Mus musculus: one gene and its partners. The protein of the gene in region 1 purifies or fractionates together with the protein of each later gene. This does not show direct contact. Links are inferred from orthologs where the notes say so. Each region holds a gene or a part of one and is shown on either strand. Other genes may lie near its edges.

Evidence for each region.
Region 2: the proteins of Ddx5 (region 1) and Hnrnph1 purify together in Homo sapiens (affinity purification with mass spectrometry; 4 studies listed by BioGRID and IntAct, with this or other methods). This does not show direct contact. The link is inferred for Mus musculus from reciprocal best matches to the Homo sapiens genes DDX5 and HNRNPH1.
Region 3: the proteins of Ddx5 (region 1) and Trim25 purify together in Homo sapiens (affinity purification with western blotting; 3 studies listed by BioGRID, with this or other methods). This does not show direct contact. The link is inferred for Mus musculus from reciprocal best matches to the Homo sapiens genes DDX5 and TRIM25.
Region 4: the proteins of Ddx5 (region 1) and Cdk9 purify together in Homo sapiens (affinity purification with western blotting; 3 studies listed by BioGRID, with this or other methods). This does not show direct contact. The link is inferred for Mus musculus from reciprocal best matches to the Homo sapiens genes DDX5 and CDK9.
Region 5: the proteins of Ddx5 (region 1) and Dhx15 fractionate together in Homo sapiens (co-fractionation; 3 studies listed by BioGRID). This does not show direct contact. The link is inferred for Mus musculus from reciprocal best matches to the Homo sapiens genes DDX5 and DHX15.
Region 6: the proteins of Ddx5 (region 1) and Drosha purify together in Homo sapiens (co-immunoprecipitation; 4 studies listed by BioGRID and IntAct, with this or other methods). This does not show direct contact. The link is inferred for Mus musculus from reciprocal best matches to the Homo sapiens genes DDX5 and DROSHA.
Region 7: the proteins of Ddx5 (region 1) and Hnrnpr fractionate together in Homo sapiens (co-fractionation; 3 studies listed by BioGRID and IntAct, with this or other methods). This does not show direct contact. The link is inferred for Mus musculus from reciprocal best matches to the Homo sapiens genes DDX5 and HNRNPR.

The regions. Positions count from the first base shown.
Region 1 is NC_000077.6:106,785,567-106,789,853, reverse strand, and holds the start of Ddx5 (probable ATP-dependent RNA helicase DDX5), read left to right. Parts: upstream 1-1,359; 5' UTR 1,360-1,537; coding exon 1,538-1,581; intron 1,582-2,779; coding exon 2,780-2,945; intron 2,946-3,309; coding exon 3,310-3,406; intron 3,407-3,494; coding exon 3,495-3,628; intron 3,629-3,721; coding exon 3,722-3,787; intron 3,788-4,287. Other genes in the region: Cep95 (centrosomal protein of 95 kDa), read right to left, coding at 477-495. UniProt on the Homo sapiens protein: Involved in the alternative regulation of pre-mRNA splicing; its RNA helicase activity is necessary for increasing tau exon 10 inclusion and occurs in a RBM4-dependent manner. Binds to the tau pre-mRNA in the stem-loop region downstream of exon 10.
Region 2 is NC_000077.6:50,380,652-50,383,972, forward strand, and holds part of Hnrnph1 (heterogeneous nuclear ribonucleoprotein H), read left to right. Parts: intron 1-807; coding exon 808-946; intron 947-1,885; coding exon 1,886-2,064; intron 2,065-2,148; coding exon 2,149-2,220; intron 2,221-2,276; coding exon 2,277-2,410; intron 2,411-2,527; coding exon 2,528-2,663; intron 2,664-3,028; coding exon 3,029-3,088; coding exon of another isoform or gene 3,089-3,118; intron 3,119-3,179; coding exon 3,180-3,269; intron 3,270-3,321. UniProt on the Homo sapiens protein: This protein is a component of the heterogeneous nuclear ribonucleoprotein (hnRNP) complexes which provide the substrate for the processing events that pre-mRNAs undergo before becoming functional, translatable mRNAs in the cytoplasm.
Region 3 is NC_000077.6:88,997,933-89,002,282, forward strand, and holds the start of Trim25 (E3 ubiquitin/ISG15 ligase TRIM25), read left to right. Parts: upstream 1-1,470; 5' UTR 1,471-1,556; coding exon 1,557-2,150; intron 2,151-4,350.
Region 4 is NC_000068.7:32,709,886-32,714,159, forward strand, and holds the start of Cdk9 (cyclin-dependent kinase 9), read right to left. Parts: upstream 2,900-4,274; 5' UTR 2,772-2,899; coding exon 2,680-2,771; intron 2,228-2,679; coding exon 2,146-2,227; intron 907-2,145; exon of another isoform or gene 683-906; coding exon 592-682; intron 325-591; coding exon 158-324; intron 60-157; coding exon 1-59. UniProt on the Homo sapiens protein: Protein kinase involved in the regulation of transcription.
Region 5 is NC_000071.6:52,180,451-52,184,096, reverse strand, and holds part of Dhx15 (pre-mRNA-splicing factor ATP-dependent RNA helicase DHX15), read left to right. Parts: intron 1-2,921; coding exon 2,922-3,115; intron 3,116-3,646.
Region 6 is NC_000081.6:12,831,228-12,834,873, reverse strand, and holds part of Drosha (ribonuclease 3), read right to left. Parts: intron 1,046-3,646; coding exon 212-1,045; intron 1-211. UniProt on the Homo sapiens protein: Ribonuclease III double-stranded (ds) RNA-specific endoribonuclease that is involved in the initial step of microRNA (miRNA) biogenesis.
Region 7 is NC_000070.6:136,327,928-136,331,573, reverse strand, and holds part of Hnrnpr (heterogeneous nuclear ribonucleoprotein R), read right to left. Parts: intron 2,209-3,646; coding exon 2,073-2,208; intron 1-2,072. UniProt on the Homo sapiens protein: Component of ribonucleosomes, which are complexes of at least 20 other different heterogeneous nuclear ribonucleoproteins (hnRNP). hnRNP play an important role in processing of precursor mRNA in the nucleus.

The DNA of each region.
Region 1 (4,287 bases):
CCGAATCAATTGGCTTTTCAAAGGCAGTACTAGAAAATGCCAGTTACTCTAGAGGGCATCAAAAGAACTTATGAGTGCTATGCCTCAAAAAGGAAAAAAAAATCAATATAAAGATAAGTTCTGCCTTAGTCCAAACAAAGCAAGGGGAAAGAGAGACAGTCTGTGGATAGATACCCCACAAAAATTCGGATCCAAGAAAGGATCTTGACTGCTCTATATAGACAGGATGCGGGTGTCCCAGGCTCGACAAAGAGTTCCTATCTCATCCCAAGTCTCAGTTCCACGTCTGGAAACCGCAAGAGGTTTCGAGGCTGAGACCCTAAATTCATAGAACCCCCCCCCCCACCGCGCGCGCGACTGCAACTAGTGTCCGACAGTCCCGAGCCTCCGCAGCGGCGCAGACGCGGTTCAGATTCAGCCCAAGGTCCGCGGAATGCTGCAGTACAAAACCACCAGGGCTCCAGGCCGAGACTCACCAGCCTCTGAGCTGGCCATACTGCCAGGAGAGGTCGCGGCCGGACTCCAAGACGAGAGCGCGGGCGACGGTGTCCCAGAAGGGTCGAACTCGGTCGAGCCGACGGGAGGAGGAGGGGGCAGACACTAGCGAGCGGGGAAGGAGGGGTGGAAGAGGGAGGGACGTTAAAACGGCTTCTCGACGCTGATTGGACAGCAGAGGAGCACTTCCTCGCAGCACGCGCTGAGGCGGCAGTTTGCGGGCTCCAGATACCATTCCCCGCGGTCAAGATCCCGCTTACGGGTTCTCAGATCGGCGGGCAGGGCAGCCAGGTCACCCAGCAGCCCGGCCGATCTCCCCGGGGGCGTTGGAGCCGCGCTTCCGGTGAGTTGGTGGTTTGGTGTTCCTCCGCCGAGAGACCAAGCGAGGAAGTAGTGCGATCCGCCTTGCCCTGGGTCCGATCACGTGATGAGGCCAAGCTCCGCCTCCCTGGTCTCCTTCGGTTATGGGCGTGGGGGGAGTCTGTGGAGACGTAAACATCTTCAAGTAGAGTCGGTGGAATGGCTGGCGCTGGCCATTTTAAGGACCGTCTGGCCACGGGGAAGCAGCTTGTCTGAGGTGTAGCGAGACGAGAGACGGCGGTGTCGCCAAAAGGGCGTCGGGGCGAGGCATTCTAGTGGTGTCACCCAGTCGTGAAGCGAGTAATAAACGGGCGCCGGGGAGGGAGCGCCCGCCCGCGGAGGGGGAGGGGCGAGAACATGGCGGATTCCGGAACCCGGGCGGGCGGGCGTTGAGGGCCTCCGAGCCAGGGGGGCGGGGTGATTAGGTCATAGAGCGGCTCCCAGCGTGCTTTGCGGCGAGGAGGCGGTCCAGACTATAAAAGCGGCTGCCGGGACGCAGCCGGCACCTCATTCATTTCCATCGGTCCTTGCCCTCGCAGCTCCGGCCCTCGACACCACCGGCCCCTCCGCTGGTGACGCCCCCGCAGAGGCTTCGCCGTCGCCGAGGCCTTCTCTCCGCGACTCGTCGCCGCAGGATTCTACTTTCACTGGGTTCCGCCCGCACACCGCCACCATTGACGCCATGTCGAGTTATTCTAGTGACCGAGACCGCGGCCGGGATCGAGGGTGAGTGTGACAAGAGACCTGTCAGGCCGGGTGGGGGATGGGAGAGCGGCGCGGCCGAAGGCTCGCCTTCCCAACCGACCTTTAGATTTTTTTTTTTCCCTTCCTGAAAGGAGGCCTGGCTTTTGTCACACGTCCGGTTAAAAGCCGTTAAAGGCTACGCTTCGGGTAATGGCGTTCAACCTTTTTTTTTTTTTTTTTTTTTTTTTTTTTGGTCCGGGAGGGTGGGCCGGGACCCGGGGCGGCCCGGCGACCTCGCGGCTGTTGAGGGAAACCCGGAGGAGTGTTTTCGGTCGGGAAGCGCCGCGCCTTTGAGGCGGTTCCCGGCGTCGTTTGCGCAATCTTTCGTTGGGTTGTTTTTTGAGGGGGGCCCCCCCTTCCGGTATCCCCGGGGGAAAGAAGGGGCGCTTTCGAGGTCCCCTGTGCCCCGTTGGGTGGCCTACGCCGGCGGATTCGGCCATGTGGCGGAGCCGCAGCCACAAAATGCCGGCCTCGGACATGGCGGCGGCGCCTTTGTTACCCCGCCCGGCGGAGGAGCTCAAAATGGCAGCGGCGAGAAAATGTGGCGCAGAGAGAAATGCGAGACAAAGAAGGAAGCGCCGCCCCAGCGGGAACGCCGCCCGGGCCGGGACTCCTCCCCCGGTTGCTTTCGGCTCCTCCTCTTTTTCTCCCTCGCGTTATATAATTTTGTTACCTTGGTTTGCAGCCGTTCGCGGCGTTTCCCTAGACTCGGCTCGCTGGCGCCTGTTCCCCTTTCTACCCTGTCCGCCGTGCTAGCCTCGTTCAGCTGCTCACATTGCCTTTGCGGCCCCGTTATTTCTTTAAGATTAGGTCCTTTGATGAAAACGGGCAAAAATAACCTTCCTAAGCTCCTCCCTTCTTGCCCAGCTCCTAGACGCTAATGCCTAAGCTCTGTGGGGAGAGAAGATGGAGGCTCTAACTCTTGTCCTTGTAATCTGGTCAGATGTTTGGGCTGTTTGCCACCTGATAAACCCACGATGTTTATTTGGCCTCAGTAGAGTGTGCTTGGGACTTCAGAAAAGAAACGCTGCCAGTTGTGGCTGTCCTTAGAATGACAGTTGGGAAGGATTCCAGAAGCACACTTTGGCTCTATCAAAAGGCAGCAGATGAAATGTGAGGGCAAACCTGTTCATGCAGTATCTTTCACAATGTGCCCAACTTTTGTTTTGTGTGTGTGTAGGTTTGGTGCACCTCGATTTGGAGGGAGTAGAACAGGACCCCTCTCTGGAAAGAAGTTTGGAAATCCTGGGGAGAAACTAGTTAAAAAGAAGTGGAATCTTGATGAGCTGCCCAAATTTGAGAAGAATTTTTATCAAGAACACCCTGATTTGGCAAGGCGCACCGCAGTGAGTTTATAAATGTGGCTTCTTCATGCTGTAACTCAGTAACTGCTTCTAGTCAATTAGATGGAAATGTAATAGGTGCCTTGCAAATGGAGAGTTGCTTGTGGTGCACTTCCATTGAATTTTTCTTGTGATATATGGTGCCCTATTTTAATCCTGTCACTGGGGAAACAGGTTTAGCAGTCTATTGGGCTTCATAGAGACTCAATTTTCATTTAAATAAGTATTATAAATTAATTATTAATTTTTGTTGCCAAGTAGAGTTCTTATTTATGGGTCCAGATTTTTAGAAATAAGTATGTTTAAAAGTTTATTGAGCTATAGGGAGCATGGCAGAAGTCTGAGGCTGAGATAATTTGTTTTTCAGCAAGAGGTAGATACATACAGAAGAAGCAAGGAAATTACAGTTAGAGGTCACAACTGTCCAAAACCTGTTCTGAATTTTTATGAAGCAAACTTTCCTGGTAAGGACTAACTTTCATCTTTATCCTTTCATTTCCCCCCCCCCCCTTGCTTATAAATTTGTTTTTAAAATGGTATTGTTGGTTGCAGCGAATGTCATGGATGTGATTGCAAGGCAGAACTTTACTGAACCCACTGCTATTCAAGCTCAGGGCTGGCCAGTTGCTCTCAGTGGATTGGATATGGTTGGAGTAGCTCAGACTGGATCTGGGAAAACATTATCTGTAAGTCTAGGAAAACTTGATAAATTGTGGCAGAGGTGACCTTAGATATATAACTATTTTAATCCAATTTCTATTATTTTTACTCTTCAATAGTATTTGCTGCCTGCCATTGTACACATAAACCACCAGCCATTCCTAGAGAGAGGTGATGGGCCTATTGTAAGTATTATCTTAAGTTTCCCACCATATTTGCTAAAACTCCTTTGACTTTCATATAGGGAATATAGGGTTGCCAGTATAAACTAGCCACTTAAAATTAGTATCCAGCCCAGGCGTGGTGGCACACACCTTTAATCACAGCACTGGGGAGGCAGAGGCAGGTGGATTTCTGAGTTCCAGGACAGCCAGAGCTACACAAAGAAACCCTATCTCGGGGGGAAAAAATTAGTATCCAAAGACAGTTAGTTGGATCAGCCAATTATAGATACTTGTCATGAGCCTGATCAAGATCAACTACCACAAGGAGAGACCAACTTGCAAAAGTTGCCTTCTGGTTTCTCCATGTGCTTCCACACACAAAAATTTTATCCTGAGAATAGTGCCTGGGAGGTAGAAACTGGAGAATTCAGGAGACACTGTCTCAAAAAAAAGTCTTATGACCACCTGAATTCTAATTCCCAACACACGAAGACATAGGGTCTTAGTAAACTGTTTTATAC
Region 2 (3,321 bases), about 56 Mb from region 1:
TATCTTAATAGTTTTTAGCATAGTATGTATTAGAACTTTGACTAGAACTTTATATATGTATCAATTTGTAATATTTTATAGTTTGAAATCAAGTCTGTTTTGTTTTATCTAAATTGGTGAGAATTGAATGCTATCTGTCAACGTTAAATATGAACATAATTTCATATCTTCTAGGAAAGTGCTTTAAGGCCTTTTTGTAAGCTTGGGAATGTATCCACGGGAAGGATTTTTCATAGACGGAATTTCCAGAAGTGAATCATACTACTGTTAGAACATAAGAGTGCATGATTGCTTTGTAGATAGTTATTGTTGAAAGTTTAGTTTGTATGTTTGTCAATTATGATTTTTAAAATGTTTTCAATTTTTACATAAACTGTTTAAATGTGTAATTTTAAAATTGAAGTTCCAATAACTTAAAAAGAATTGAAATATATGAGGTTAAAAGGTTTCTTATTTTACTTAAATTGTTATTTTAATGCTTAAAAAATTTAAAGTTCTTGTATAATTCTATTAAGATGCATAGATTAAAATGTTTTTAATTGTTGAATTCTTAATGCACCCTCTGGAGTATAACACTTTTTTTTCTTTACTGTATATACTATGCCTTGGGTGTGTTAAGAATTGAGTTATACTCTTTATAGTGGAACTTCTTATTATTGCAATGCATATTTTAAGAGTACTTGTTGAAAGCATACCATTCACCTAAAGTTAAAATTCTGGTTTATTTAAAGCTATAAGAAGAATCATTTCTGGGCTTGTGATGTTAATATTGCCCCCCTACTGGGGTTATTTGTCCTTGGGTTGAAGGGTTGGAAATCGTGCCAAATGGGATAACATTGCCGGTGGACTTCCAGGGGAGGAGTACGGGGGAGGCCTTCGTGCAGTTTGCTTCACAGGAAATAGCTGAAAAGGCTCTAAAGAAACACAAGGAAAGAATAGGGCACAGGTGGGGATGGATGGTTGGTTGGATATGTCACTTTTCTTATGGTAAACAATTAAATCCATATTCTCTCTGCTTAGAAAGAGGAAATTACCCATTTCCTATTCCCAGTTAATTGATAATCTGCTATAACTTCTAAATTTTCCCAGTTAATGTATTTCATTCAAATTAAACTTTAGGCTTTAAAATTATCCCTAGTTTATTGGGCTGTCTTTACAATTTTGTAGGACTTTTAGTTTATTAACCCTAATCAATAGAGTTGAGAGACTATGGCTTTAAAAAATTACTACAAACCTGTCTTTAGCTGTAATAACACCCATATAGGAAATTAATATTACCATAAGAAAATGTGATACTTTCTGATCTTGTTTTTAAAGTTGAAATGCAACAAACTTTTTCTTGCTGTATAAATATTCTGCATATGTATTAATAAGCATAGCTTTCAAGAAATTGTCACAAAGGGTTTTATTCTCTTTGCTTGTGACTATTTTTCATTGAAGCATGCGCTTTTTTACCTATGCTGATTCCTACTAAAAGCATAGGCTGGGTACTGGCGAAAAGAAGTGTGTAGTGTGGGCTAGACTGTTGGTGGAGGCTGGCTTTTTAGCCCACTTGCTACACATACTGCCAAAGGAATTGAAATAATGAAAGTTGAGTGGAATTATTCCCTCCTAAACCATTTACTTAATACTCCTCTCTGCCTCTAAGGCTGGGCTCTGCCTCAGAGGAGTTTATTTTCTTTTTTTCTATAAAGTTTAAATAGTCTTTTGAGTGAATTTTCTGGTCATTGCCTATACAAATAAATGTAAGAAATCTGGCTTTAAATATTAGTCAGTTTCATGGCTATGACTAAATTGTTTTTCTTGTATAACAAAGTAATTGTATGACATGAACTAATGTTTTCTCTCCCCTCCCCATTCCCCTTCCTTTTGGACAATGCTTTAGGTATATTGAAATATTTAAGAGCAGTCGAGCTGAAGTTAGAACTCATTATGACCCACCACGAAAACTTATGGCCATGCAGCGGCCAGGTCCCTATGACAGACCTGGGGCTGGCAGAGGGTATAACAGCATTGGCAGAGGAGCTGGTTTTGAGAGGATGAGGCGTGGTGCTTATGGTGGAGGTGTGTATATGCTGAACCAGCTTCCTTTGTGTGTGTGTGTTGCTTCCCCCCACCTCCCGACTAATTGTACTTTTTTTCTTTCAGGCTATGGAGGCTATGATGATTATAATGGCTATAATGATGGCTATGGATTTGGTTCAGATAGATTTGGAAGAGGTAAGGTAAGAATTGAATTTCTCAATTGAAGGATATTTACACATTTGTCCATCTAGACCTCAATTATTGTTTTTCAGGAATGTCTGACCACAGATATGGGGACGGTGGCTCTACTTTCCAGAGTACAACCGGACACTGTGTACACATGCGGGGATTACCATACAGAGCTACTGAGAATGACATTTATAATGTACGTGTTCAACTAAATTCACTTGGGATAATTCAGTACAGTAGTAAAAATAATGGGGTGATCATTATACATTTTGATTGTTAAAAGCTGTCTAATTTTAAATAACTTGTATTTTAGTTTTTTTCACCACTCAACCCTGTGAGAGTACATATTGAGATTGGACCTGATGGCAGAGTAACTGGTGAAGCAGATGTTGAGTTCGCAACCCATGAAGATGCTGTTGCAGCTATGTCAAAAGATAAAGCAAATATGCGTAAGTGTGATTAAATTATTTGTAACCTCAGGCAGTTCAGTGACAAGCATTTAGAATAGATTAGTAAGGGGATATATAGGAAAGATTTGATCTCTAGTGAGGAAGCTTGGTTGTACTGAAGGAAGCTTATGTGTGTGTGTGTGTGTGTTTTTAAACCTATTGGGATTTGTGATAAGATATAATCTTGAAGTTTGACCTTAGTTGATATGATAGTTCAAAGATAAGTGTTTTAAAAGCTAGTTCTTAACTAACATGGGAATTTTCTTTTTGCCAAAAACATTTGTGATTCACAAATTACTTTTAAATTGCTTAACTTGTTTTCTTTTACAAACTAACAATTTCAAACTTTTTTTTTCTCATTTCAGAACACAGATATGTAGAGCTCTTCTTGAATTCTACAGCAGGAGCAAGCGGTGGTGCTTACGGTAGCCAAATGCTAGGAGGCATGGGTTTGTGTAAATATCACTTTAGTGTCTTTTTTTAAGCTAACCTTGTATGCCTTTTCTCTCATTTCAGAACACAGATATGTAGAACTCTTCTTGAATTCTACAGCAGGAGCAAGCGGTGGTGCTTATGGTAGCCAAATGATGGGAGGCATGGGCTTGTGTAAATATCGTTAGTTTTTTTAAAAACCAAAACATTTATATCTGTATAAGTA
Region 3 (4,350 bases), about 18 Mb from region 1:
AGCCCAGGCTGGCCTTGAATTTGAGTTCCTCCTGCTTCAGTCTCCCCAGAGAGAGTTCTGGGATAATAGGTGTGTCCCACCTCACCCAATTTAAAAGTATTATAACCAATCTGGCTTAGATGAAGAAATTCTTAAGAGACACTTGTGTCTCAATCTGTTACATTATTGAAACAGTGAACCCCAGAGAAATGGGAGTTTCCTTGGAATCTCATGCTGGGAGAGACCAGAGGGAGAATTTGTCTCCTGGGAAAAGATTTCACAGTTAGTACAGCTTGTGGGACAGAACAGCTTACCAAATGAGATTGAATCCCAGACAATGATGGGCCACTGGTAGGCTGGACCAGGTCTGGACTGGCACTTAGATACAAATATTTTTGCCTTCTGTTTTAACTCTGTTCTCACTTCAGAACGGGGAAGGTGGACTTGAGGGGTTTGCTGGGTCTCTTTTTTCTGTTTTCCTCTTTTAAGTAGGCTCATTTAATTGGCTTAAGGACCGGTGGCTGGAGCTGACTTGGGGCAAAAGTTGTGACACCCAACTTTTGTAATATTAGGTTTTGTTGTTGTTGTTTTAAAGATCATCTACCATAAAAGGAACACCAGATCTGAATGGATGACCATAGGGTCCTGCCTTTAGGGCTTGGGAGGAGATTTGTCAGAGCCCACCATCAGGAAAGAAGAGGGAGCTGCATACAAAGGCAGCACAGCTGGAGGGAAGGGGAAGGGAGGGGGAAGGGAAGGGGAAGGGAGGGGGAAGGGAAGGGGAAGGGAGGGGGAACGGAGCGGGAAGGGAAGGGGAAGACAGCCACAGTCCATAGAATTGTGTTTTGTTTCTTTTCTTTTCCTTAAATTATTATGTGTATGTTATTGGGGGAGGGGGGTGTCAATTTTGTGCAGTCTTAACCAGGGTTTTAGTAATTGTGTTTAGGTCTCATATTCTGTTGTACAGCCATCTCCCCAACCCTATTTTTAGATGTTGAGACGGCCACTAACTCTCTAGCCCGGTCTGACATCGAACTCACGGCAATCCTGTTGCCTCAGCCTCCTAAGTGACTAAATTACGGGCACGAGCCACCAAGCTCTGGGTCAACAGTATTTTGTTCTGTTTGGCTTTGAGTTTTAATAAGACCGGTCCTGTTCTGGAGGGATGATTGGTGACACCTCGGGGACACAGATGAATGTTCTCCAAAGCTCTGCTGCACTGTGCTAGGACGTAGGCCCCGACCAGGAGGGTGGGAATATTCCAGCCCCTGCGACAATTCATCTGCAGAGTGCCTCTGAAACTGCACCTGGTAGCCCTTGGGTCGTGCGTCGCTCGGGTCCGCGGGGTGTGGAGAGCATCAGAGTTCCCCAGGTCCCATAATCACCTTTGGCTTCCAGCACCAGGAGGGAAGCCTCCCGCCCACTGTCCGGCCCCCAGGGACCCACGTGACTTCCTGAAGCCCCAGGGCGCCGCCCCTCCTGTTCAGTTTCGATTCCTTCCTCGCTGCTTCTTAAGTACCGCGCGGTAGGGTGCGCAGCTGTCCCTGCGCGTCACGTCGGGTGAGCCCACGAGCGCGATGGCGGAGCTGAATCCTCTGGCCGAGGAGCTGTCCTGCTCCGTCTGCCTGGAGCTCTTCAAGGAACCTGTCACCACTCCGTGCGGCCACAATTTCTGCATGTCATGCCTGGATGAGACGTGGGTCGTCCAGGGCCCGCCGTACCGATGCCCGCAATGTCGCAAAGTGTACCAGGTGCGCCCGCAGCTGCAAAAGAACACGGTAATGTGCGCGGTGGTGGAGCAGTTCCTGCAGGCCGAGCAGGCGCGGACCCCGGTGGACGACTGGACGCCTCCTGCCCGCTTCTCCGCCTCCAGCGCAGCCACCCAGGTGGCCTGCGACCACTGCCTGACGGAGATCGCAGTGAAGACGTGCCTCGTGTGCATGGCCTCTTTCTGCCAGGAGCACTTGAGGCCTCACTTCGACAGTCCGGCCTTCCAGGATCACCCCCTACAGTCGCCCATTCGTGACCTTCTGCGCCGCAAATGTACCCAGCACAACCGCCTTCGGGAATTGTTTTGTCCCGAGCATGGCGAGTGCATCTGCCATATCTGCTTGGTAGAGCACAAGACCTGCTCCCCTACGACCCTAAGTCAAGCCAGCGCCGACCTGGAGGTAGGGAGTGGCTGGTTGAGGGTATAGAGGACAGCTTGGATCAGCTGAATTGTGGAGAGGCCATCCTGGGTATCCCTGTAGTACAGTGGGTTGCTAGAGGAGATAGGCTTTGCTGGGCCAGAGATCCCATTCCTTCACAGACCTCATGGCCTTAGGCTCCGTGGGCCGCAGTCTGGGAGTTGGGCAGTAGGAAGCCATCCCCACAGACCAAACAAGTAGATTTTATATAGCCTCCCGCTCATCCATTATCGCCTGCCTTCTCCAGCCCTCTTAGTTCTATTTTACATAGAGCACAACGGAAGGCACAGGTAAGAGTGCCTGCCCCAAGTCTGTGTTTGTCCAGTGGAGTTCAGTAGTTTTGAATATTAACCAGGAACCCTGGGGGTTACCTCTCCAACCCCTTCAGATCCTGGCAGCACGAAAGGGCTGTGTCTGTTTAGTTCATTCCACAGCTCAGGGCTGTGTCTGTTTAGTTCAGGAAAACAGGCCCAGAGAAATTAGCTTAGCAGGAACCAGGCTGCTTTGAGTCACAGCTTCTGGTTTCCTTTTTCCCTGTAGACCACAGATCTGTTGAGTCCAGAGCATGGAGCAGTCTTGGAAGCTTGAGGTTAAGGGTAACAGAAGCCTCTGTTGAGGAGGGTGTGAATGGATAGTGAGTGTGAACACAGAGCCTCAGAAATCCCTGCTTGTGACTTTGGCACTGTGGTATAGCCCTTTTTTGGTTGTTTTTAAGACTGTCTCACTATGTAGTCTTAGCTGTTCTGGAGCTTGCTATATTGACCAGGCTGGCTTTGAACTCATGGAGACCTGCCTGCCTCTGCCTCCCAAGTGCTGAGACTAAACGCACGCGCTCAGTTGGTGTAGTCCATCTTGCTGTGTGAAAATTGAGCAGGGCCTGGCGTGGTGGCGCATGCCTTTGATCCCAGCACTCGGGAGGCAGAGGCAGGTGGATTTCTGAGTTCGAGGCTAGCCTGGTCTACAGAGTGAGTTCCAGGACAGCTGAAGCTATATAGAGAAACCCTGTCTCGAAAAACCAAAAAAAAAAAAAAAAGAAAGAAAGAAAAGAAAAAAGAAATTGAGCAGGAATTGGGCCTCTGGACCTGGGTCCGCCTTGCTAAAGACTGGAAGCGTGTGTCAGGGAGTCAGGGTTCCTAATGGCCTTGTGGGGTTGCAATGATTTTAGTGGCTTTAGAGGTCCCCCCCCCATTACAGACTCAAAGCAGTTGTTGCCTCTCTTCGGTACATTTGTCAAAGTGTGATCTGATCTCCTTTCTCTCTCAAACGTCTGAGAACTTGAGGCCTGTCCCAACATTGTGGAAGGAATTGGAAACCTGGGTGAGGTTGGCAAGCCTTGCTGTGTGGTGCCAAGATCTCAGCTCCGCTCCCTCCTCCTGCCACAGCCCTTCCCTGGCCTTGCCTGCCTGTCTGGGTCTTAGTCAGGTCCCTTAGAATGTCTTCCCTCTGATTCTTGGCACCTGTATCTACAGGTAACATCTTTAGAGTTCTCTTCAGTATACCCCATGTGGGTACGGGGTACGGATACCTCCAAGTCTAGCTGTTCTGGGAGAAAGTCTGCCCCGCCTTTGGTGCTTTTGTCTTTGCTACCACCAGAGCTAGCTGTTTGGCTTGGGGCAAGACCCTACAGATCTCTGGGTAGGTCAAGAGCCACCAGGGAAGTGCCGCAGAGGCAGGATCCGGTGTCAGGAGGCTTGGCACTTAAGAGGTCCCTCCCAGATTCAGTGCCAAGATCTTGGTTTAAATTGTGACCCCCAGCAGTAGCTTCCAGCTACAGAAGAATAAAATGGGGAACATGATGGTCTCCAGTTACAGTGAGGGCTGGTGAGATGGCTCAGTGGGTAAGAGCACCCGACTGCTCTTCCGAAGGTCTGGAGTTCAAATCCCAGCAACCACATGGTGGCTCACAACCATCTGTAACAAGATCTGACTCCCTCTTCTGGAGTGTCTGAAGACAGCTACAGTGTACTTACATATAATAAATAAATAAATCTTAAAAAAAAAAAAAAAAAAAGGCATGCTCCAGTTACAGTGAACCTTGGGTGAAGTGAAGCTGGTGTAGTGGCTCATGCCTGTAATTCCAGCCCTTGGGAGGCTTAGGCAGATAAATCATGAGTTTGAGGCCAGCTTGGACTACATCGTTTCAGGTCAGCTACAGGGTGAGACTCTTGTCTCAGAAAGACAA
Region 4 (4,274 bases), on another chromosome or scaffold:
TTCAGGACCCCATCCCGGGTAATGAGCACATTCGCAGCCTTCATGTCCCTGTGCAGGATCTGAAGGGAGGACACACAAGAGCTCAGTCAGGTTTCATAGCATCCTGGAGCCTGGCCTACACAGCAGTCAAGAGCAGAGAAGCCCCATTCTGCCCCACCTTGTTCCTGTGGATGTAGTAGAGGCCGTTCAGCAGCATCTGCATCACTCTCTTGATCTCAGACAACGTGAACTTGACTAAGACGTTGCTCAGCAGCCCAGCAAGGTCATGCTCACAGAAGTCAAACACCAGATAGATGCTGCCCTTGCAGCGGTTATACGGTGAGGCTGATACAGAAGGGGCAGAGAGAAAAATAAAAAATAAAAACCTGCATCCACCTCATTTTCCACAGCCAACTCCCAGCCCTCCAACCCACAGACACCCAACTCCAAACAAGACCAGAGAAGATGGGGGGCCGGCACTCGGGAGGCAGAGGCAGGTGGACCTCTAAGTGTGAGGCCAGCCTGGTCTATGGCGCAAGGTCCAGGACAGCCAGGGTTACACAGAGAAACCTTGTCTCAAACCCCCCTTTTCTCCTGAGGCAAGCAACACACCTTTGGTCCGACAAATCTCAATTAGGTTCACCACATTCTCATGTTTTAGGAGCTGTAGAATCTTGATTTCCCTCAAGGCTGTGATGGGGAACTAGGGAGGAGAAAGAGGAAGTGGTCAAAATTGAGAGCACAACAGACGGAGGAACTGTGGGTGGGGTGGGGGTGTGTTTGGGGTCTATACTGAGGGACAGAGGTTGAAAGACAGGCGAGAGAATCGTTCCTGTGTGATGGTTCCTATCTGGAATCCAATTCTCGTATCAGGAGACAGAGACATCAGAACCACCAAGTTCAAGGCCAGACTGCTTAGTTGAGCTCCTGATTCAAAAAGAAGGGAGAGGGGAAGATATATCTATATTTATCTGTAGCTAGCCTTTGCAAAATATAAAATAAGTGCAAACACACACATATCTCAAGGAGCTGCTAAATGTTGCCATCTAGATAATGGTGGCCTTGAACTTGTTTATGAACCATCTTTTTTCCCCAGTCTCATAAGTGCTGGGATTATAATCACAACCCTTTACTCCAGACTGGGAATTTATTTTAGACAACCCAAATAAGGATAAACATTTTGTCACTAACACTTGTGAGTTAAGATCAAGAAATTTGTGGGGCAGTGGTGGCGCACGCCTTTAATCCCAGCACTTGGGAGGCAGAGGCAGGTGGATTTCTGAGTTCAAGGCCAGCCTAGTCTACAAAGTGAGTTCCAGGTCAGCCAGGGCTACACAGAGAAACCCTGTCTCAAAAAAACCAAAAAGATCAAGAAATTTCCTGGGAATGGAGATAGTTGAATGGTTAAGGAAACTGGCTATGGTCACGTGTGGCAGTCCAGCCCTTTATTTCCAGCAGTCAGGAAACACAGGCAGTTGATCCTCTGTGAGTCTGAGAACAGCCTGGACCAAACAGTGAGTTCCAGGACAGTTGGGGCTACAGAGAGATTTTGTGTCAAACAAAACATAGAGTCCCTGTTTCAGGGAAACACACACACCACAGCACTGGCTATCCTCCCCCAGGACCCAGGTTCAATTCCCAGCACCCACACAGTGGATCTTTTGTCCCAAATGATCCAAGGCAACCTGGCACACCTTTCTGGCTTCCTCAGGTACCCAGGTACTGGAGAATAGTGCTGTACACAGACATGCCAGAAAACAGAAGACCCTATAGACGCAAAGTAAGACAAACAGCATTTTCCTTACAAAGGCAATGCTGCTGAGGCTGATGGAAACAACACCTTTCAGAACATCACCTTAAGCTCAGCGGCCTTTTAAACGGCTTGTGCACAAATGGTCTCTTCATACAAAACAAAATTCAACGCCAAGCTAAGCTGAAAGTTTTCTAGAGTCAACCTGCACTCCATGGGAAAAGCACAGGCTCCCTCCCGTGGCTCCCACAGAACTCTGCCACTAAAGCTCAACAGTGTAAATGGAAAGCCAAATTCCTTGTTCCATGGAAAACCGAAAAACACTAGGTCGAATCTCAGCACAAAACCCTTTGAAGTAGCGGTGTGGAAACCCAGCCAGGTTAGAAGAAGGTCGGCCCAGTGGTCCATATACTCACCCCCTCCTTCTCATTCTCCATCAACACTTTCTTCAGAGCCACCTTCTGGCCCGTCTGACGGTGCTTGGCTTTAAAGACTTCCCTGCAGGCACAGAGAAAGACCCAAGGGACCCATAAGGCATTTCCGCAGGGAGTGCCCCTCCCCCGCGCGAAGGGGAGCAGCAGGAGCCCAGACCCACGGCGGGCGGGGTGCGGCCTCGGATCCGGGACGCGGTCATTCCACACCGCGTGTCTTCCGTCCTCCTCCCGGCCTCTGCTTACTCCTACTCAGCCCCTACTCCTCCCCTAGAGGTGGCCGCTCACATTCGGAGTGGCTCTCAGCAACCCTACCCAACCCCCATCACGGGCCCCAGGCTCCTCCCCGCCAGTCGGCTCGGTTGGGCCGGGAACGTCTGCGCCGCGGCCGAGCAAGACCGGGCAACAGCCACGAAAACAGAAGCTTCCGGACCACCTCGGCCCGGGCTCTGGGCGACCCGACGTCGGCCCTGGAAAGTGCAGGTCCCGGGCTCGCGGTCCCACGCGGCCTAATCTTACCCGAATGTGCCTTGGCCGATCTTGGCAAGTTTCTCGTACTTGGTGACCTCATCGCAGAACGGGCATTCCACCGAGTCGTACTGCTTGGCCATGGCCACCTCCAGCGCGCCTCCGCCGCCGCCGCCGCCGCCGCCCCCAGCCGCAGCTCCCGCCGCTCCCGGTCCCGCCACACTCCAGGCCCCTCCGCGGCCGCGCCACTTCCGCCTCCACGGCCACTTCCGGCCTCGAGGTGCCGAGCCCGCCTCTTCCGGTCTCCGCCCGCCGCCAGGCCCCCTGGGACTTGTAGTTCCCGGGAGGCCAGGGGGAGCCGGAGCTGCAGAGGAGCCTCCGCCGCCGCCACTGCCCCCGCCTCCGCCGCCGCCGCCAGCGCTGTTGGCGGCCCCGATCGGGGGCGCAGGAAGCCGTGGCGCTGGGGCTGGGGCTCGCGGCGGTGCGTCCCGCTGCATTGGCCCGGGCCGTGCTGCTGCCGAAGCTGCTGCCGCTCTGGCTCCCGATCCGGGGCCAGCCGCAGTGCCCTGCTCCTCCTCCTCCGACGGCGCCGCCTCCGCCGGGCTGCGCGGGGCGGCGGGTGGTGGTGGGGGGAAGGCCTGGGGGCGGAGGCTCCCTGGCCAAGCCCGGCCCGGGGCGGCAGGGCAAGGGGGCGAGATAGGCAGAGCAGACGAGGAGGCGGCCCGAAAGCCCGGGAGGGGGCGCGTTATAAAGGGGGAGGTGCCCGTCCTGGCCTCCCCTCCCCCTCCGCCCACCCCCTCCCTCCTCCTCCCACCCTTCGCAGCCGCACCTGCCGCCGCCGCCTCCCGCCCTCCCGCTCCCAGTCCAGCGTCCGCCCTCGGCGCGTCACTGCTCGCAGCCCCTCCTCTGCCTTTGGAGGTGGGGCTCCGCACTAGACACCTGCCTGCGGCTCCCTCCTGCGTGCCTCAGTTTATCCCCCGAATGCCAGCTGCTACAGAATGGCCCTTCTTCCAGGACCGGGAGTGTGCTCCCGGTGAGGCGAAGGCAGGAGGTGCCGTGGGAGCGGCCTTGAGGCCAGGGGAAGAGAGAACTGCCCCCGCTGCCGCCTCCGTCGTCTCAGCCACCCGCCGTTGACATGGCAACTGACGGCCGCCAGGGGGCGCGGCGACACTGTGGGCGGTGAGCGATCAACGCTCAGGCCTAAACCCTTGGATCTTGTGTTGTCAGGATGGATCTACTACAACCTTCCTTCACAGAGCCGCGCCAAAGCTGGTCTGTCCAGAGTCAATCATCCCCAAAACTGTTAACATTGAGCCGGCACTCCTGATGCTTTTGAAATGGGCGTGAGCCGGGCCTTGATGGCGCACGCCTTTAATCCCAGCACTTGGCAGAGGCAGATGGATTTCTGAGTTCCAGGCCAGCCTGGTCTACAGAGCCAGTTCCAGGACAGCCAGGAAAAACAACAATAACACAGAGAGACAGAGAGGAGAGTCTGAAGTCTGTTCTGTCTTCCTCTACTGTCTTGAAATTCTGAGCTGATCATGGCCGATTTTTCCAGCGTTTACCTCCTGGTCTGTGGTCCTACAAGCTCCCTTCTGTTTCAGTTTCCCAATCCCTCCTGTCTTCAGAGTTGCCACCCCACTCTC
Region 5 (3,646 bases), on another chromosome or scaffold:
TTGTTAGAATATTTTGAATTATGTGAATAGTGTTTAAAAAAAAAAACTTGAACTTGCCAGTCATGATAATGCATACCTTTTAATTCCAGCATTTAGGGATCAGGTAGGCAAGTCTCTGAATTCAAGGTCGGTTTTATCTATATAATGAGATCCTTTCTTAAAAGAAGAAAATGATTAGAAACGCTACAAGGTACAAAGTGTGGTTGTGACCTGCATCCATCTGCCTCTAGCATACAGTACTAAACACTGTTAAATGTGTCTCACCAGGTGCCCAGTTTTTAAACATGAACAAGTCGATCTTGTTGATAGACATGCAGCCTGTTTTATATTTTGTATATTATTGCATCTATTTATGTGTGTATGTTTGTGTATGGATGCACCCATGCCGTAGCACATGTGTGGCAATCAGAATAACTTAGAGTTATTGTTCATCCTATGGGTATTGAGAATTGAACTCAAGTTGTTAGCCTTAATGGCCAGTGCCTTTAACTCCCTCAGCTGACATACCAACCTCAGGCTTTGTTTAATGACTTCAGGGATAAGTATGTTTGTAGATTTTGAAATGGCTAGATTTATTACAGTTGTACTCCATGTAGCTAAATCTTCTTTCCTCATGGAGCATAGCAAATTACTCTTGAAACATCTATAAACTTTTTGGTTATATCCCTGAACTGTTAATCTGATGGTTGAATGAAGTACTTGTGGATTTAATAGGCACTTGGAAAGCCATTAGTTAAAAAAAGTTTCGTCTTGACTACAAAAGTTGCTGGACATGGTAGACATTTCTAAAATTCGGGAAGATACTGAAATTAACTTTATAATTGTCTATTTAATATGCAAAGATAAAAGGCATTTATTGGCTTACTCTTTACGTTTTTATGAATGTAGGGTAAACATTTATAGTTGGCACATGCTGCTAAGCAAGTGCTTATCACTTATCACTGACCTGTACATTCAGACCCCCCTGCCCCCCCCCCTTTTTTTTTAAGGAAGGATCTTGCTATGTAGTCTGTCTAGGCTTGCTTCTAGTTTACTGTCCTGCTGCCTGAACCTTAGGTGTGGACCACCATGTCTGGCTTAGGATTTTTCTTTATGTGATCAAAGTTGAGTATTTCATAGAGACATTTTGATATTGTAGCAACCAAAAATATTAAAAGACCCAATTGAGGGACAACTTGATGCTAATAAGAACTCAAACTTTTAGCTGTGGATGATGACACCTTTAATTTCAGCGTGTGAGAGGCAGAGGCAGGGCAGTTTGAAGGCAGCTTGGTATACAGAGAGACCCTGTATCAAACCCTTAACTTTTAAATTTAATGTGTTGAACTCTTGTAAAAAAAGATTCATGAGAATGTAGCTTTAACTTTATTAATATCAGTAGAATTTTAAATTATTTCACGTGCTATTAATAATCTTTGTTTAGTTAGTGTTTTTTGGAAAGTCAAACCATATGTATTTTTCATGCTTTTCCATTTTAAGTTTTTTTTTTAAAAATAAAATAGATGCATTGAAGGTAGTTTGCATTGAACAGATGGACAAACATAAAAAGAGAACCAAGTGCTGTCTATTAAGGTGGAAACTAGAATTGGGAATATGTAAAATATGTACTCTACTAGAAAAGTTTTGTCTGAAAAAAATTTGATGTGGGAAAAAAATTCAAGTTTATACAAGATGGGTTTTCATTAGGAATTAATATGTAAATCTATTACTTTCTCATTAGTTATTTTAAGAGTACAAAGAACTTTTTTGAGTTCTTTGAGATTTGTCAAAATAACCAAAATGAAGTTAAGTCATTCATTTCATTGGAATGGATTTTTTTTTTTTTTAAATCTGAAGAGTTTAAAGAACTTTTAACCTGCTAGTCAGTGCTTTGAATTTCACAACAGAACATCACTTCTTACCTGTTTTTGGAGGAGGGTTGGTGAAACGAAGGTAGATCCTCAAAGCTTTCCTAGGAAAGCACTGTGCTGGCCTCCAGAACTAGGAAGATAGTCTTGGTAGTTCTTCATTTAGGCCCTTGAAAGACATACACTAGTTTCTTTGGAGAAAAAGTATAATTGTCTCCCCTTTGAGTTATTTGTTTTATGCATGAACTAGCCCTAATTGAAAAAGTAATCTACATTATATAACAGTATATCAGCTAACATTTCTCATCAGATGTCATCATATAAATTCTGAAATCCAAGCTTCTCCATTCCTTAGGGTTTCAGAAGCTTTGATGAGACAGATCTAGGTACTTTTGTGGAGGATTCTTACTGAAGATTGTGAGCATTTACATCTTCCTGTTCAATTAAATGGCTAGAGAACTAAACCATGAGAGAAGCCCTTCCCGTCTACGTAGTGTAGTAAATAGGTCACCATAATGACCCATCTTGAGCTTCACATTTTCTTTTCCCCTTTTCCCTTGGCTGCTGTTCTCAGTCCTTTTGAACTTGAGGGTGGCCGTTTTGATAACTTTTAAGATGGTATCTAAGGTGCTGTCACCGTGCATCCTGTTGCTCCTAAGGAAAAGTTAACAGTGTTAGGATGACCTTTTGATGGCTTGCAGTTTATATACTCGTGCCTACATTTTTATAATTAAAAGTGTGGTTTTCAAAAGTGCACATTGCTATATTTAAAGGATCGAATTTAAATTGGATGTTTCTTCTGATGCTTAGAAAATACTAATGGTACGAGCTGTTCTGTAGAGCATATTGAGCATAGTCTGAGCTGACCTTGTCTTCCCAGAGTGTGATTAGGTTACATCTGTGTTGTGTATGATCCCTTCTGGCTTACAGGGCTCATGTTATTGTAACTGGAGTCATAACTTCTTTGCATAATTGAATTTTGCCTTAAATAATTAGAATAAAATATAATATTAGATACAGATAGTTTGTATGCAGGCAGAGTACAAATAATTTAAATGTGAAATTATTTCATAGATACCACAGTGGTGTGTGGAGTATATGCGATCCTTGCCAGGACCCAAAAGAGGAGTCGCCTGTACACAGCCCAGGAGAGTGGCTGCAATGAGTGTGGCTCAGAGAGTTGCTGATGAGATGGACGTGATGTTAGGCCAGGAAGTTGGATACTCCATTCGATTTGAAGACTGCAGTAGTGCAAAAACCATTCTTAAGTAAGTACTCTATCTTTAAAATGGATACTACTCTAGTCATAGTTTTTTTTTTCTTCCATTAGTTAAGGAGTTTTACTAATGGAATTACCAGTTTTAAAATACAATGAAGTGGACATGCTAGGCGATGACTAATTAGTGTTTTTTCTTGGTGGTAATGCTCTTCAATAGATATTCTGTTTCAGTTATGTGGTGCTATATCATCTGTGAAATGTTACAAATATCATAAAAGGTGATAAAGGGTAAAAATGTTAGTAAAATTACTTTCAGGACAAATGCTATGTGAGTGGGATATGATTTATTTATGGGTAAGGGAAATTGTGTAGTTCTTGCTCTGTGTGAGCTCATGGGGGAATCTTGTTCTGTAATAACGTGGTTATACTATTTCAAGGTCCTACTTCTTTATACCTGCTGTGCTCTTGACCATTTTGAGTCTTGTAGCTTATTTACATAATCGTTTTCTGTGTTTTAGAATTAACATTCTGCTAAAGTAGTGAATTTGTTGTCTAACAAATCTTACTTTCTCCTGCTGAT
Region 6 (3,646 bases), on another chromosome or scaffold:
AGGCAGTGGTATGGCACGCCTTCAATCCCAGCAGTAGGAAGGCAGAGGTAGAAGAATCAAAGCCAGTCTGGTCAACAGAGTGAGTTCCAGGATAGCATGGGCTACACAGAGAAACCCTGCCTCAAAAGAAAACGGGGTGGGGATGGGGGGTTGTGCACAAGTTTTTGTTGCCCAGCAGACAGCTTTATTAAGGAACTTGGCATGGGCTCACCTGCTCCTTTCATAGCTGCGGTGGCGAGGCGGTGGCGTTCTCCCCCGATCATAGTCTGAGCGGTAGCGGCTCTCAGGTCTTCTCCTTTCAGGGCTGCGGCCGCGCTCCCTGCGCTCCAGGGACCGATGCCTCTCGCCTCGCCCGTGACTGTGATCTCGGTGCCTGTGGTCGTCGTAGTGCTTGAGCCTTTCTGGGGACCGCCTCTCATTCTGAGCCTTTGGGAGTGAGTATGGTGGGAGGTGTCGAAAATGAGGAGTGCTGCTGCTGTTAGCACTGGGTGGGAAAGAGCTGGAGTTGTTCTGGTAACTGTTGAAGCCGGGCGGTGGGAAGCTGTGCGAGTACCCAGGGGGGTACTGGTAATTAACCTGCTGCGGCATGACGGGCGGGGGCGGAGGGTGGGGCATGGAAGGAGGGGGCACCATGAAGGGGAAAGTGCCTTGTCCGGGAGGTGCTCCGGAGGCAGGCGGGTTATTGGGACAAGGCATCGGAGGGGGCATGGGTGGAAAACAGGGAGGCACCGGGAAAGGGTGTCTCATCTGGTGGTTGGGGTAAGGCGGCCTCACTGGGCAGGGAGGGAGAGGCCCTTGGGCAGACGGCGCCGCTGGGGGAGGGTAAGGGACAAAGTCTGGCCGTGGGGGCATAAAGCTGGGGGCCTGAGAGTTCGAGTAGGAGGAAGAGGGGGCGCTCGGAGGCTCATATTGATACTGCGCAGGCGGCTGCTGGGGATGAAGAAGTCGCAGGTTTTGGGGTCTGAAAGCTGGTGCTGAAGGTCTGGCTCCGTGTCCTCCTCGGCCCCGGGGACACCCTCGTCCTGGGTGGTACGACATTCTATGACTTTTTAGAGAAGAGAAAAGGAGAAATCAAAACATGGGCCTCACCAAGACCCTCAGTGTGGAGGGAAGTGATTCCTGCAAGCTGTCTCACACACACACACACACACACACACACACACACACACACACACCTCGCGCGCTCGCGATCTCTCTCTTTCGCACAGCATGCACACACACACACACACATACACCCCTCGCGATCTCTCTTGCACACACCCGTGCGCACGCGGGCGCGCGCGAGCACACTCACACACGCACACGTGCACGCATGCGCAAAACACACATGCGCATGCGCACACATACACTTAATACACGTACATACGCTTCCCCCCCCCCCTCACGCAGGTGCACGCACATACGCACACACGTAGGTACAAGCATAGATTCATGCGCATGCTCACGGACTATAAACGTAAATTTTAAAGTAAAATTTTAAAAACCTCATGAGAACCCAAGTTCGGGCCCCGGAGCACAACACTAATCAAAAAGCCAAACACGGCGGATGTGCTTGCAATCCCAGAGCTGGGAGGGCAGAGGCAGGAGGATTCCTGAGGCTCACTGTCCAGTCATACAGTGAGATCCTGTCTCAAAAATAAGGTGGGTAGTGCCTGAGGAGAAAATTACACAGGCACACACACATCACTATGTACACACTATGCAAACAGGTTTCTTAAATACCTAACTACCCGTACACAATTAATCAGTACCACCAAAATATTCAACCCATATAAAAGAATTTTTTTTCCTAAAATCTTTATAGCCAGCTGTTTCCCGTCTCTTCCACACAGCCCACCACTACAGCCAATCCCTGGACCCTTCTCCTCTCCATTTCCTACCCTTGCCCACATGTCCCTCTAATCTTGCCCAGTGTCTTAATAGCTCATTTGTTAAAACAGCCTATATAGCTCTGACCCACTCTACTTTAGTGGGCACCAGGCAATGCCTCGGACTTAGGAGGAACCAACATTTCATTCCCTGAAGGCCAGGGAGAAAACAGGACTGCTGAACACCACTTAAATGGGCAGGCTGGTGCCCATGTTAATACTTCAATCAGCTTCTGCCAACACATCCCCGGCAACCTCCCGCAGCCAGTTTACTTTCCAGGCCACTACGGATGCTGGGTGCCCTCTCTGGGTGTGATGGTTTGTATATCCTTGGACCAGGGAGTGGCACCATCTGGAGGTGTGGCCTTGTTGGAATAGGTGTGACCTGGTTGGAATGGGTGTGTCACTGTGGGTGTGGGTATAAGATCCTCACCCTAGTTGCCTGGAAGTCAGTCTTTCACTAGCAGCCTTTGGATGAAGACATAGAACTCTCAGCTCCTCCTGCGCCATGCCTGCCTGGATGCTGCCATGTTCCCACCTTGATGATAATGGACTGAACCTCTGAACCTGTAAGCCAGCCCCAATTAAATGTAGTTTTTTATAAGACTTGCTTGGTCCTGGTGTCTGTTCACAGCAGTAAAACCCTAACTAAGACAGAAGTTGGTACCAGGGACTGGGGTATTGCTGTGATGGGCCTGACCATGCTTTTATTTGAAAGAATGTGGATTTTTGGACTTTGGATTTGGAACACAGTGGACTGTTTTAAATGGGGCTTAATGGGTCATCCAAGTAGGAATATGGAAGACTTTGTTGCTGGGAGTGATTTGAACTGTGTTGACCTGGCCCAAGAGATTTCAAAGGAGAAGAATTTCAGTATGTGGCATAAAGACCGTTTTTGTGGTATTTTGGTGAAGAATGTGGCTACTTTTTACCCTTGTCTGAAAAGTCTGCCTGAGGCTAAGGTGAAGAGACTTGGATTAATTGCATTAATTGCATTGACAAAGAAAGTTTCAAAAAGGCCCAGCAGAGACTCTGTTCTCTGGTTAAGTCTCACAAAGAGAAGTTTGAACAAGCATAGCAAGCTTAGAAAGGCAAAATATAAAATATATGGTTCGAGTATTAAAGGAGTACCAGGAAGTGAAATGGAGCAAAATCTTGTGTTCTAGGAGATAAAAGATTAAGGGAGTGGGACCTTGGGGCAAGATTCTACCCAGCTGAATTTAGATCCAGGCATGGTGGTACAAACCTTTAATCCCACAAGACAGGCATGCTGATCTCTGCATTCAAGGTCAATCTACAGAGCAAGAACCAGGATAGCCAAGCTTAGGCAGTGAAGGATTTAGGAAACATAAAGCTAGTGATAATGTAATAGTACAAGGGGATCATGTTCTAGTTCCTGTAAGCAGCAGAACTCGGCGGCTTCAGCCATGTGGCTCGGGCTCTAGAGTTAAGAATGGAAGGAACTACTGGGAAAATTGATGCTGGTTAGCTGGAGCTAAGGAATTAGCAGTGATTAAGAAGAAACCAGCATCACTGAGTTGAAATCTGGGAGTTGTTTTCTGGGAGCACAAAGAAGCTGTGCTCCAGAGATACCCAAGGTTGTACCTCATGCTGCGGCTGGACTTGGTAATGTGTAAGAGTCACTCAGGTGGTATTGCTTGTGAAGGAATGAAGGGATCATGGAGAGAAGCTGAGGCTTAGCACTGTGAGAGGCCAGGGAAGGCCATTGGAGAAGGTGAAGCCTCAGCTGTAGTTGATGGCCCAGGACTGAAGGGGTC
Region 7 (3,646 bases), on another chromosome or scaffold:
AAACATGAGTTTTCTATCAGTTACTTTAGTATTAAGTTACTTCTTGACTTGGACACTTGATATATATCAATCTTTTGGAAAGCACTTGGAGGGATGAGTAGAAGGACACAAAGAGAAAAGAATCACTGTATAAATAGTCAGTAGAACAATTTATGGGTAATGGAAATTAAGGTTTCAGACTGAATAGAATTTCTGAAGAAAAGATCCAGGATCTATTCTAGATAGTATAGAACTGAAGTTTGGCCTTAGATAAGTCATCTATATAGATTTTACAGTACACGGGTGGTGGTGATGCACACCTTTAATCCTAGCACTCGAGAGGCAGAGGCTGGTGGATCTCTGTAATTTCAAGGCCAGCCTGGTCTACAGAGCAAGTTCTAGGATAGCCAGGGTTACACAGAGAAACCCTGTCTTGAAAAACTAAAAATGAATGAATGGGTGAATGAATGAATCAGAGTACTAAGAATAAATCAACTTAGGGCTGAAGAAGAACTAATATGGGGCAACCTTTAAGTTAAAAAAGGGTAAAACCAGAATAATAAATGATAGGTTTAAGTAAAGGGAGAAGACAGTATGACTGGATGACAAAGCATAAAGAATATAGTGGGTTTTATAAGAGGAAGTCATGATCTTAAAACAGTGTTTTCAAATCATAATCTCACCATTTCTTTCCCTCCCTTTCTTTGTCTCATTCATTCATGTGCATGAAGAAAGGAAAACGAAGAGAAAAAGAAGGGAGACAGACAGACACACACACACACTCACGGGGGTGGGGGGAGCAAGCATGCCAGTGTGTATCAGCAGATACTCCTCCTATGGCAGCATCCATCTGTACACGTCAAAGAACAACTCGAATGAGTGGGTTCTCTCTAATTTTTGTAATCTGGGAGTTGAACTCAGATCCTGAGGCCTGCAGTAAAAATACCTCTATTAGCTGAGCCATCTCACTTGTGCAATCTCAACATTTAAAAAGTAAAATGCTCACTCAGTCTAAAAGCTTTGATCATAAGCAGGAAATCTGTATCCTATAACTGTGCCTACAATTCATCCTTTGACACCGCAGACTCGTCAACTCTTAGCTACTATGGAGGTAAAATCCTTTGGTGATGTGAGGGACATTGAAGTACAGCCTTATAACAATGAACTCCAATGTCTAAAAATTGTTCCTATTTTGGGTTTGTACCAAAGTAAGAGTCAAGATCTTAAGCTTTACTAAAAACAAAACAAAACAAACAAAAACTATCTTAAAAAAATAATAAATAAAATAAAATGAGCAGGCCAGGCGTGGTGGCACACTCCTTTAATTCCAGCACTCTGGAGGTGGAGACAGCTAAATCTCTGTAAATTCAAGGCCAGCCTGGTCTACGCTGCAAACTTCAGGCCTTTGAACGCTGTAGGGAAATGGCTCAGTGGAAAGAGTGCTTGCTGTGAAAGCAAGAGAATCTAAGTTCAACGCCTCAACACCCACATAAAAAGTGAAAATGAATGGAAAGTAGGTATAGGCAAGGTATAATCTTATTCAGTTCTTTCACATTATACATATAGTCTTCTGCTTTGCTTTTTGAAATAGAATCTCATGTATCCCAGACTGTTCTTGAGTTAAGCTTTTTTTAAACTCCTAACCTCCAAGTGCTAAGAATACAAGCATGCATCCCAGTTATATATTTAAGTATGTGGACCTGTGGTATAAAATATACTTCTCAATCAACTGCATGGATTCAATTAGAATCTTTAAATAAAGTTATGTAGTCAGGCTAACCAGAAATGAGAACTGTCTTCTCCCGAATCCTAAAAAGTTATTGGAGGAAAAAGCTTCCACTTGAGAGCTAGAGAGCAAAGGCTCTGACAAAAAACAAGATGCGATTAAGACAAAGTGAAAAGGAAATTCCATGAAATCAATACTACTTAGACATTTATTTAGTCCAACTACTATTAAAGCAGAAAGAAGCAACTGATACATAGGAAACTTGAACTCTAAGTTTATTATAGCTATCTCCTTTTGGGAGAGCATTTATATTTATAAATAATGCAACAGATCCCCACAAACCAACTTCGAAATGCATTTTTTTTACCTGTGACTTTACTGAACTCTTCCAGAATGTTCTCTTTAGTTTTATTCTTTGGAATGGATCCAACAAAAAGTCTGTTGTTTGCCACAGAAATGCACACTCCCAGGTGTTTACCAGGGCGAATCTCATAGCTGTCACACTGCAAAGAAGAAAAGAACCAGAGACCCCCAAACCATCCCAGACTGAGGACAACTAATATTAATCTAAAGAGCCCCACAATTTAAGATCAAACACTCACCAAGCTCCCTCACACTTGCTGAAACATGAGTGTAGATTTTGAATTCGTTACAATCCCCAGTTATAGCTTAGTTCTGTAACCTCTACTGTTCATCCATATAAAAAGGGGATCAAAGCTATTCATTTTAACACACCTTTCTCTCTCTCTCCCTCTCTCTGTTTTGTTTTTGAGACATGGTTTCTCTGTATAGCCCTTGCTGCCCTGTATAGCCCTTGCTGCCCTAGAACTCAGTGTAGATCAGGCTGTCCTAGAACTCAGAAATCCACCTGCAATTCTCTACCTCCCAAGTGCTAGAACTAAAGGCATGCACCATCACTGCTGACTTATTTCAATTTTATCTACATTCCCTTCCAGAGAATTTCAGAAGGAATACCTGAAAATTATTTATTTTTATTTATTCTGAGTCCTTGAGGATGAAATTAGATATAGATCAGCAATAGCCAAAATAATTACATGTAAAAAGGAACAATTAAAACTTTAACTATGGGGGCTGGTGAGATGGCTCAGTAGGTAAGAGCACCCGACTGCTCTTCCGAAGGTCAGGAGTTCAAATCCCAGCAACCACATGGTGGCTCACAACCATTTGTAACAAGATCTGACGCCCTCTTCTGGAGTGTCTGAAGACAGCTACAGTGTACTTACATATAACAAATAAATAAATAAATAAATAAATCTTTAAGAAAAAAAAAAAAAAAAACTTTGAGTTTCACACTGTATACAAACCACAATTCTGAATAAAGCTATAAAATATCAGAACACTTTCAAAACTTTATGAAGACAACAAAGAATGTGATGAATTCTTTAATAAATTTTATTTTATGTTTTAACATTACTTACTACTAGTTTACTAAGTGATATTTTTAAAGTTATCCATGGGACTGGTGAGGCAGCTCAGTGGTTAAGAGCATTGGCTGCTCTTCTGGAGATACTGAGTTCAATTCCCAGCAACCACAAGGTGGCTCACAACCATCTGGGCATCTTGATGCCCTCTTCTGTCATACACATGGGAACAGAGCACTCATATATATGAATAAATAAATCTTTTTAGTTACCTATACACTATCAAAAACAAGAAAATAAAACCTTGAAATGTCCTTAATATTGAATACACAAGTTTTAAGAGAAAAATCCATCAGAAAAACTAAACCCTGGACCAAGCTAGTAAAGGACTGCTTCAAACTCACTGATGAAACAAGAACACTTGGTGGATACAGCTGTGCTAAAAAAGGACAAGAACTGCCTGCCATACCACACTGCGTATGCCCTTAGATGTCTGGCAAAAATCTGCCAAAAACAGTAACACTGTCACTTTAACACACCGAGAGTCAGAAAGCATACA